3 linked regions of the Danio rerio genome follow. Each later gene encodes a partner of the first gene's protein in a complex. Links are inferred from orthologs where the notes say so. Each region holds a gene or a part of one and is shown in the gene's direction. Other genes may lie near its edges. The genes, in order: gtf2f1, polr2k and gtf2a1.

Region 1 (3,658 bases):
GATGCTTTGTGGTTTTTTTTTAAGTGTTTTTTAATTTTATTTTTCATCTGCTGTCTCATTTAATGAGGACATGATCAAGTAAACTAAAATTTTAAACGAAGCTCTGATTGTGGCTTTTTGCACTTTAACATTGCATTTGATAAAACTTGATTAAAATTATTAGTACAGTTTATTATATATTTTTTTGAAATAATGTTCTTTCTAATCAGTGTCTTTCATGTCTTTTGTTTTGCTATTTAATGATTAAATCAGTTGATTGACCAAACCATTAAAATGAAAAAAAAAAAACATTTAACATTTAACGTCTTTCCTGGTTATTTTTAAAATTGTTTATCATCTATTGAAGTTAAAAATACTATTTTGCTGGAGAAAACGAGGACATCAAAAGGCGAGTCATTATCACATTTTCTGGGACTGCTCTGTTATTAAAAAATATTGGAAAGAAATACACAATGCATTACCATTACCAAAAAATGGTTGTCACAAAAGTCCCACACTAAATACAAGGATGGAAATTACAATGGATATTTCTTAAATGTAGCAAATACTGCATTTGTGAATCAGAAAATGGAACAATTTATTTCAATCTTGGAAAATGGACCAATTATGCAACATCCCTTAAACTGAACTTTTCCGTTAACTTAAAATCGAAAGGATCAATTCCTACCTGTACAGTTTTGTTGCTGATATGCATGTATATATTTTTTGTATTTATTTATTTTTACTTGTTTGTCTCCCCCCTTCTTTTTTTTTGTTTAATCTATTTATTATTATTTTTATAACAGTTTACATGTGCACAAAAGTAAAAGCATACATTGCTTAAAGAGAAAATGGATGCATATATATCGTTTAATTTGTGAGTGTATTCAGATGTAAGATATCTGACATGTATCTGTAAGTGAAAAACTATTTGAGACAATTAAAAAAATTAATTTAAAAATCTATTCATTATTTTCAAAATTTTCTCTTATTGAAAATTGTAATTCTTATAAATATTAGTCTTGCCATTAAAAAGCCATCCACTTTTAAGGTGGCAATAAAAAACTAAATCTGAATAAAATGTGCTCGTGACTAATTAAAACCATCGCAACCAGTCGTGCTGACACAATGAGCTGATTTCGGATTTGTTGTTGGTGTTTAATTGCATTTAAAGTGTGTTATTATTTGTTTAGATCTTGTTTTACTGCTGTTTTCTTTCTCTTTGCCACTCAGATTTAAGGGTATAAAAAAAGGGGGCGTTACAGAGAATGCGTCCTACTACATCTTCACACAGAGTGCCGATGGTGCTTTTGAGGCATTTCCCGTGCACGCCTGGTATAACTTCACACCACAGGCCAAACACCGCACGCTCACAGCTGAGGAAGCAGAGGAAGAGTGGGGCAGGTGAGGGCAAACCTGATTTCTCTTCTGCATTACAAGCTTGCAGTTTGATGATTGCAGCTCATTATTTTTCATTTAGGAGAAACAAAGTGGTGAACCACTTCAGTATCATGCTCCAGCGGCGTTTAAGAGAACAGGAGCGAGGAGGAGGAGATGAGGATGAGGAGGAAGGAGAAAAAGGCGCAAAGAAAAAGAAGAAGGGAGGCAGAGGAGGTGACCTGCGAATTCATGACCTCGAGGAAGATTTGGAAATGAGCAGCGATGAAAGTGATGGCAGCAATGGAGATGGTGAGGGTGAGCAAAAGGGTCAGAGAGGAACATGAGTGTGCCTTATCATGCTTTTTATTTAAAGATCAAAGTACATAATGAATATTCAGTAATCAACATTTGATTTTGAATGGTTGTTGTTGAATAATTTTAGGACAACTTTGATGAAAGGTTTTGATTTGTTTCAGATGTTGACTACTTTAGTTGTCTCTTAACAAAAGAGTGAGTTCTAAACCACTCATTCCAATTTAATTTCTCTTATCAATACATATTGATATGCAACATGCTTGTGTTACCAGTCTATCTTTTTCATGGGCTGCCTGCCAACAGCATTTTGACCCTCCAACACAGTGGCTTGTTCATATCAACATCATGTCTAGAAGCGTTTTTTGTCAATGTCACCAAAACAGCTAAATCTACTGTTTGCTTCATATCTGCGCTTTGTTGTTATTTTTTCTGAGAGAAATCATGAGTATGAAGTGCAATGTAGGGCTAAATCAAGTTTCACACAATCATAAGTGAAGAAGCTGCATACACAAGGTGTCCACAGATTTTTAAAGTCTTAAATTCCATAGTGCAAAGATAAGGCCTTAATTAGTATTTAAATTGTCTTAAATCTGCATCTTAAAAATGAAATCAAACCAACCTCATAAAGAAGACATTGTTTCAGTTTTCTATCTAATTTTCACCCTGAACTAAATATGCAGGACACAATAAAGTAAACCCTCATGGGTATTTCACTTACACAAGCAAATTTTGTGGGGATTTCACTCTATTATAGCTTTTTATCACGGCTGAAAGAAACCTGTCATGATTTTCTTGAACAATATTGCGATTTCAATTTTAATCACGTTTTTGACACACACAGGCGTTATACAGTGTGAATGTGAAATGTAATTCCAAAGGAAATTTATTAAATCTTTCTTTATAAAGACTGTAACGTCTCCAAAACAGACATAAAGCAAAAAAAAAAAAAAAACACCTACTGAAGGTCTAATAAATTGTCTCTAGATAAAACAAATAAATAGACTAGTGTTTGTGCGTACGTGCGTGTGCGCACACACGCTTTCAAACGATGTTCTGTTTGACCACATATCAGAAGTAGTTATGTGTACTTTTGTATGTGTCCACAAATTTATTTTTGCCATGCATAGCTCTTAAATCTCTTTGTGATGCTGCCGTGAAATGGGCCATTCACATATTGCATCTTTTGCATAAGTTAGTTATTTCCAATGGAGGTGCCCAGCTTACACGTATATTGGGAGTGAAGCATGTATTCCATGCACACGCAGTTGAAAACATCTCCACTTTTGAGAATGCTGCACTGCGAGTCACGTAACAAGAACTGACATACAAGTGACATGCCTTCCCCTTTCCATATGCTATAAGATGCAATATTTGACTGAGAGGTCTTATGAATTACCTGATTCTGTGATACATCAGTCTTCCTCTATCCAAAGTAATCCCACACCCCAGATGTTGACTTTTTTTGGGCACCAAGCCCTCCTGTGCTGAACTCATAATCCCTGTTATGCAGTTTATTTGTCATTAATCTCAATCACCTGTTCTCGCGCTCTGTTTAGGCGTGCTACATTATGATTGGTTCAAACAGCATAATGTGGGAAAATCTGTAAAGCGATTTAGATATCACGTGTGTTCAAATCAGGATTTTGATACGATTTCAATTAATCCCACATCTCTACTTTCTATAAATAATAAAGAGTGTTTCTGGCTCAATACTATTAGTAAAATCTATCAGCATAGTCTACTGTATACAATTTTCAACGTTCTGTTAAATGTGTTACCTGTGCAAGCAGTAGCCTGTCACAGGGTACTAGACCATGTGACCAATCAGAAGAGGCTCTTGGAAAGAGGGGTTTAGAAACGATAAATCAAATGAATGATTTGAGCTCTGTGAGAAATTAGATCAATTTAAATTTAAGCATATTTTGAGAAAATAGAGGCCTTTTGTGAGTGTTTTTGAATGTGGCTGCTTGTAAACTAATTGTAG
Region 2 (3,758 bases), on another chromosome or scaffold:
GTCAATTAGCAAAGGGGAACTCAACTTAGTTTAATTTTATTTTGAACAACAATATAAAACGTCCAAATTTATAAGTTGGGAGACCTAAAAATGTGAGAATGTACAAAAGCGCTGCTAATAGGAAGTCTTATTTGTTGTTTATTATCTATTGTATAACTGTAATGTTACTGACGGAACCATTTTGATTACAATACAATCATTCTAGACATTCAACATAAAAACAAAACATGAATATCTTTCTGAGATGTCTTTTGGGGATAGTTTCTGAATATTGCTGCCCTCAATAGTTACAATGCATACACCTGTTGATAACTATGGAATATTAAATAATTTAAATATGTTATTACATTTCATAAACCGTTTTAATTACTTGTGCTTACACTTGATTTAGTTATTAATGGCCAACATGTGTCCTGTGGATTTGAATTACCTTCAAATGCAAAGTATATCTATCTTTTGCTCTAAAAATGAACATTAGTTTTAAAAAATCATAATAATATTTAAGGAATTAGCAGTATTTCAGTATTATTGAAACAGTAACAAAACATTTCAGTATATCAAAAAGATAAACAGCTATCAATAATTAGTAACTCTATTAATATGAATAAATGACAATTGGCTGGATCAGCTTGTTCTGACATATACCTTCGTTATAAACACATTATAAATGGGAATGTTGATATGTATTAAACACATTGCCGAGAAACAGAAACTGAAAGGGTGAGGCGGGATTACGACTGCCAGTAAAAAAAAAACACATTACAAACATAAATACTAACAGTGTACAGACTATCTGGTTATACCTATAAAACATATAATAGTATATAATACTGACAGTAAAGTTTTGCAAACTTACCCGAGAGCTGAACGTTTAACGTTACTGGCAGTTTTTGCAGCTGCGACTCACTAACGTTACTTCCTGCTCTGAGACCGTCAACAACACCGACAAATCAAGTGACAATGTACGAAACACATTTCACTCATACAAAAAATCAAATAATAATTATTCATTAATAATAACACATTTCTGTTAGTAAATAAATGTGTTTAGACTGTTTCACAATTTCAGGACAGGTTTAATAACAGCGTTACACATGAATTAATATAAACCATTAGCGTTAAACAAAAAAGTACACAAATAATACGTCTTCATGGTTACGTACGTCTGTCACTAAATGAATGTTTAAAAACGTCGCCGCGAAGTTTTTCTCCGCCATCTGAAATTGCTGGCAGTAATAAAATAAAAGTCCCAGATGAACCTGTAAGTCTCTGCGTAAAATGGTAATGTCCTCCCTCCTGGCGGCGTATGACGAGATTGGTTCAATTCTTGCCAACCAATAGCATTGTTCGTTACTGTGATGTGATGTCGCTTGTGCGCATGCGTGAACGAAAAACGTTTCGAAGCAAACAGAGAGCTCACGCGTGAAAGGTAGCTAATGCTTTGAATGTTTACATTTCGTACTCGTTTGTACACTGATAAATGACAGGATGAATGATATGTGCGGGGTTTTATTGCAATTTTAATATGATGAATTACGTGTCTTGTTGGGTTTATAATGGAAGAACGTGTTTGTGCATAGTGCAGCATCTCTTAAATGTGCTCTTACGATAGGTTTAGGTCAAATAATGTGTAATATTCTAATGAATTTATTCAATTTAGACTATATAATCATGTTTGTGTGTTTGCTTTAAGCCATGGATTCTCAGAAAGACATTCAGCCCCCCAAACAACAGCCAATGATCTACATTTGTGGAGGTGATTGCTCTTTTGATTGTATTTATGTTTATAATCTATATGTATATTGATCTATTAGAAGGTTTATGTATTGATTATATTTTTGTAATCAGTCATTTCTTTCTTAATGCTAAACAATCAAGATGTTCACAATCTAGTCTGTTTTTGAGCTTGAAATTTTGTGTGTGTGTGTGTGTGTGTGTGTGTGTTTGTTTCAGAGTGTCACACAGAAAACGAGATCAAGGCCAGAGACCCCATCAGATGCAGAGAGTGTGGTTACAGGATCATGTACAAAAAGAGGACCAAAAGATGTATCCTTTATCAACTAAACCAATGCTTTGTGGTAGGCCTGGTTGATACGACAAAAAAAGTTGATTAAATTAATTTCACGCTATAATCCTCTCATTTGCTAATAATGAGATATGTCATGATATAGTAACTAGGGATACAACAATACAGTTAGCCTTAGTAAGAGGTTAAGGAGAAAAAACTTATTGCAATACTTCTTTATTTTACTTGATAGCCAAGAAAAGTACACTAGTTTGTAGTTTAATGTATAATAAAAGTAAATTAACTGAAATCTCACAGCTGCTGGTAGCTTATGTACAAACTGGGGAACACGTATATTCCTACATTTTGAAAATACACATACATGTGAAAAATAATTTCAAATAAACATATTTGATGTAATTTTAAGCTCTGGATGTTTATTAGTTTTACATTTTCTAAATGCATATTGTGTCACTGTTTTGGAGCACACTAGCTAATAGGATTGGGCGATGTTGACCAATTTGCCATCATATGATGTATAATGTGAAACAAAGTAATGGACGATAACATCGTTATTGTAGGCGTCAGTGAATTAATTATTAATTCATAACGGATTAATTATTTGTAGCCCATGTTTCAACTACCTGACCCACAAGGTCTTTGTTTTACCCATAACCAAATCAAAAATAAATAAAGTTGCACACAAATTACCACCTTTCAATCACTTTTTCCATTGGACTCTGGCATGAATAGGCCAATAGAGTGATCTGTGTCTTTACAATGACATTGACAAACTTGGTTGGGAAAAAAAGGTGCACAACCAACCAACTGTATCTGAGGTTTTCACTAAAATTACTAAGTATAAGCATGAAAGCGAAACACCGAAGCAGTGTACTGATGCTGTGACACATTACCTGATAGATTCAAAAGACCAAAATGTCTGAAGCTCTGATACGAATGTATACTGCAGGCATAACAGTGTGCATTTTCATCGATATCGAGTGGAAGGAAGGCTTTTCAGAAATGCTAGATGAAACGCCTGTGTGGACGTAGGTCGCTTTTGTTCTAAAATGCCATTTTAAAACTAAGATGTATTAAGGCTGATTTATACTTCTGGGTCAAACACCGGCGTATGCTACGGCGCTGACGCATAGCCCTTCGCCGTGGCCATCGCCGTCACTGACGTGCACCTCTCAAAAAATGTAACTACACATCGCAACAACGCGTAGCGCAAGCTCTGTGATTGGTCGGCTTGGTAGCGCTGACGAGTCTGGGCGGGACCGAGAGCTGCGCGAATGGCGCGACGCCGCGCGAGCGATTGTTTACAAGTGTGGAGTCCCGTGATGGAGCTCCGGATGGAAAGTTTTGTTTTGTGTTTACCTTATAGTTAAAGTTGTTGCACGTCCGCCGGTTCCTGCCTTAAAATGAGCGAGTTTGAGCCACTTGTACATCCCAGAAGTGTTCAGGAAATGCAAAAAAGTAGCGAAGAAACTCAACACAGAGGAACATTTACACCTCACTGCCAACTAGCGTTTCGGAAGTGTTAATGCAAACCGACAGAGACAGCGCGCAGAAGTATAAATGCACAGCCACGCGCGTTGCCTGCGCCGTGGGTTACGCCGGTCACCTGACGCAGAAGTATGAATCAGGCTTTAGTGTAAACGGGGCCTAAGTGTGTATTTTTCACAAACGGATTGCTGCTACGGTGGGGTGGAGGTTAGCGATGCCAGCTCAGCATCGATATGTCTATCGA
Region 3 (3,658 bases), on another chromosome or scaffold:
AATTGCTGGGCACAGAGCCTCTGGATCTAAACCTGAACTCATCTGGTTTAGTCCAGTCATAATTTGTCTTTAAATAATCTGTCTTTATTTCAGGAGCCGTTAAACAGTGGTGATGATGTCAGTGATGAGGAAGATCAGGAGCTCTTCGACACAGAGAACGTAGTGGTTTGCCAGTATGACAAAGTGAGTGTTTGCTTATCACATATCTTTAATCTGTTTTGATAGCTTGCACACATTTATATTCTTACATTAATTAATTTAAGTGCAAAAACTATTAGAAAATCTATCAAATATTTGGCATATATGTTTATATAGAAATTATAACCCTAAGTCCTTAAAGCAGGGGTGTCAAACTCATTTTAGATCAGTTTTCAAGTGTGCCGGACCCCTGGGGGGGGCCTCCTTTTACAAATAGTACATTTTCATACGACTGAACTTATACAGAACTAAACTTACAAAATGTGAAATAGTTACATTTCCTCGTAAGATCAGCTCTGTGCAGGGCTTCCCACAGGTTTAAAATATACTTGCAGTGGTAGCCTGATTGGAAAAAACCCTTTTCCCCACAGCACATAAATGGTCAACATCATGTGACAAACAAAAAATAATGTGCTTTTTACCTTGATTTTTATTTAGAATGACACTGTCATACACCTTTTCTTTTCAGTGGGTTAAAGTTATTAAATTAATAAAACATGCAGCAAATGAGAAATTAATTTAAATAAATAAAATAGACATTATTGCAAAAAATTATAATAACTACTAGAATAAAAAGTGTAGATTATTTAAATAAGGCAAATTACTTGATTAACCATTTCTAGTGGTGTACAAATATTTTGCAGCCATTATAGATGGCATTTTGTTCTCTCCGAGTATAAAGTTTATCTGAGACATTTATTATGTGAATAATCATTTAATGTTTCTCTCGCGGCTGTGCGCGCACATTCATTCAGCTGCGAAATGGTAATGCAAAAACGCATACAAATAATGACAACTTTAAAATGCGAAAGTAAAACCTGAATCCTGGACATTTTACGAGACTTAAACTATGGTCGGATGCATTTTGACGGAAAAGGCGCGTCTCAGTGGGTCTGCTGAGCATGTGAGTTTCTGTGTAAGTGACAGATTGCGCACACAGAAAACCAGCATTAGGAAACGTGCAGAGCAGGGGAAGATTTTCCATTTTCAGGACCTGTTTAACATGTTTTAAATCTCTTTGACTTTCATTTTTCTGTTAAAAACAGAGGATCGTTTAAAAAAAGCTGGAAACCTGTAACCCTTGATTTCTATGTTTTTTTTTTTTTTATGGTCAATGGTTATAGGTTTTCAGCTTTCTTCAATGTCATCTTTTGTGTTCAACACAAGAAACTCGAAAGGTGTAGAGCCACTTTAAAGTGAGTTAAGTTTTTTTTTTTTTTTTTTTGAGTGAATTATCGCTGTCAACACTATGGCATATTACATTATTGAAAATGTTCAATTGACAAACTTTTGGATTGCATGATTTTATTAGCAAGATTAGTCATTGCACAGTGAAAAGTCTTTTTGCCCTTTTCTGTAAATATTGACAAATTTCTGATCCTCCGATTGTCAAATATGAGATAGAATGGTGCTGCTGTTGTTGCTAGAAAGGATACTGCTGCGATCGGACGTTAACGAGAAGTATTTATATTTATTAAATTCCGCATTGAGTGCAGTTTATTAGCTAGATGGGATACAGCTGAGTATACTCATCAATATAGCGTAATCTAATACAATTGTATTTTATTAGATTATGCTATATTGAGTATCCTCTGCTGTATCCCATCTAGACTTCACCATGCTGCAGGAGAGGGTGAAGTCTAGATGGGATTCAGCTGTGTAAACTTGTTTCAATATAGCTTAATTTTGACACTGTACAACAAATACTATTTTACATTAACTTTACAAACTTTGAGGTTTGGGTCTAGGGTTGAGAGGGGTAGACGCTAATAAAATACAATTAATACATTGTGTGATTTGATAAATAATATTAACACTTCTCGTTAACTTCCGATCGCTGCTGGATTTGTCATGTTTATTAATAATTTTCTGCCAAGAAAATATTCTAGTAATGTAAACAGTTTGTATCTTAGGTGAATAAAGCACATCGTCCAGTTATATTGAAATATAATTATTATTGCCGTCTTCATAGACATCCACGTCTATTTTACAAACTTTACTTGGTTTGTTTTGCTTGTAATTATGTGTATTTGAATGTCTGAAACCTAAAAGAAATGTTATTTGTTTGAAAGCACAGGTAAATTGTGATTTATAATTAGTGCTGCGCTCCTTTTCCAGTGCTATAGCACCCGCCATCAGATTTAAATTTTAGCAGTCACACCGGTGTGATCATACGCATGAAAGGGTTGAAATCACTGTCCAAAAGTCCCTGAAATTTATTTTTGTTTTTCTTAATCTATGCTTCAGATTCACAGAAGTAAGAACAAGTGGAAATTTCACCTGAAGGATGGCATCATGAATCTGAACGGACGGGATTTTGTGTTCTCCAAAGCCATCGGAGACGCCGAGTGGTAAAAAGCGGGAAAGACAAGAGAACAAAAAACCCAAAAACTGCCTACTTTTTAAGGCAAGACACATCGAGACCTGAAACTGTACATTTCAGGAGATTCCCCACTTGGGGTGCTGAAGAGTAACGTCCCAATGCTACTGTGCTGTTTGAGTGATTTCTGCACACAAATAACTTGTGCCATCCATGAGATTTCTTTTTCTTTTCCCCTTCTTTTTTAAAAAGACTACTCTTTTACCTGTAAAAAAAAAAAAAAAACTCAGTCCATAATATCTCCTTTCCAAAAACATCTACGCCCCCTCAGATGAAAATGTTAGGCGCAGGGAGCCGATTTTAGCGTCAGACGCCATCTTAAGTAAACAGATTTGTCAACAGCCTTTTCACAGCAATCGTACGTGTTTGGTGATTTCCGTAAATCTGAATCCTGTGTAAAGCGAATCACTATTGGTCGCCTCATACAAACACTAAAACAATCCAGCAAGAGCTGCGTTCCAACAATTCCCATTAATAGATGCCATGTTTTTAGACCTTTGTATGTTCAGCAAAAGAGATACCAATGAAAGCAGGCAAGTTGAGCGCAAGTTGTCGATCTCACAAAGCTGTTTGCGTGTTTATGTCTGTCATGGGTTTTTCTAACTCTGCTCTGTCAGTCTGATGCATGTTTTTGGGAGTTGATGCATCACAGGGTGCTTTGGTGTGTTTTGTGTGCAATCTTCTGCGTTTGGTGTCTATGAAGTGCTCCATCAGGCCGCCCTTCCTACTTTCCTCCCAGTCAGGCTTATTTTACGCATTTCTAGTCGTTCGTATTTATTCCCGAAGCTCAGGCAGCGTTCATATTTCGGGGGGGAAAAGACACCGAACTGTGCTCTTAATGAAAGAAGTGCTCCTTTTTGGCCCTGAGGAGGATTTCCGCATGTGGTTCTGTGCATTGTGGAGTTACCCTAGGGTTTGTTTTAGTCCCTCCGTACTTGTTTTATCTTGCGTAGTCTGACTTTTTAAAGCCGTGCCCTCATACAGTTTGAAATTCGTAATGTTCTGTGTCTGAGGAAAATGCTTCAAGAATGTTCTACGACATGGTTTGGGGCTTTGTTCGTTTGGTGTAATTCATTGCTC

The links.
Region 2: gtf2f1 (region 1) and polr2k share a complex: the UniProt entries of both Homo sapiens proteins name them as parts of the TBP-based Pol II pre-initiation complex. The link is inferred for Danio rerio from reciprocal best matches to the Homo sapiens genes GTF2F1 and POLR2K.
Region 3: gtf2f1 (region 1) and gtf2a1 share a complex: the UniProt entries of both Homo sapiens proteins name them as parts of the TBP-based Pol II pre-initiation complex. The link is inferred for Danio rerio from reciprocal best matches to the Homo sapiens genes GTF2F1 and GTF2A1.

Annotation. Positions count from the first base shown.
Region 1 is NC_133178.1:32,757,361-32,761,018, reverse strand, and holds part of gtf2f1 (general transcription factor IIF subunit 1), read left to right. Parts: intron 1-1,212; coding exon 1,213-1,383; intron 1,384-1,459; coding exon 1,460-1,674; intron 1,675-3,658. UniProt on the Homo sapiens protein: TFIIF is a general transcription initiation factor that binds to RNA polymerase II and helps to recruit it to the initiation complex in collaboration with TFIIB. It promotes transcription elongation.
Region 2 is NC_133194.1:13,081,020-13,084,777, forward strand, and holds the start of polr2k (DNA-directed RNA polymerases I, II, and III subunit RPABC4), read left to right. Parts: upstream 1-1,349; 5' UTR 1,350-1,429; intron 1,430-1,693; 5' UTR 1,694-1,695; coding exon 1,696-1,756; intron 1,757-1,953; coding exon 1,954-2,046; intron 2,047-3,758. UniProt on the Homo sapiens protein: DNA-dependent RNA polymerase catalyzes the transcription of DNA into RNA using the four ribonucleoside triphosphates as substrates.
Region 3 is NC_133195.1:17,659,131-17,662,788, reverse strand, and holds part of gtf2a1 (transcription initiation factor IIA subunit 1), read left to right. Parts: intron 1-93; coding exon 94-183; intron 184-2,445; coding exon 2,446-2,553; 3' UTR 2,554-3,658. UniProt on the Homo sapiens protein: TFIIA is a component of the transcription machinery of RNA polymerase II and plays an important role in transcriptional activation. TFIIA in a complex with TBP mediates transcriptional activity.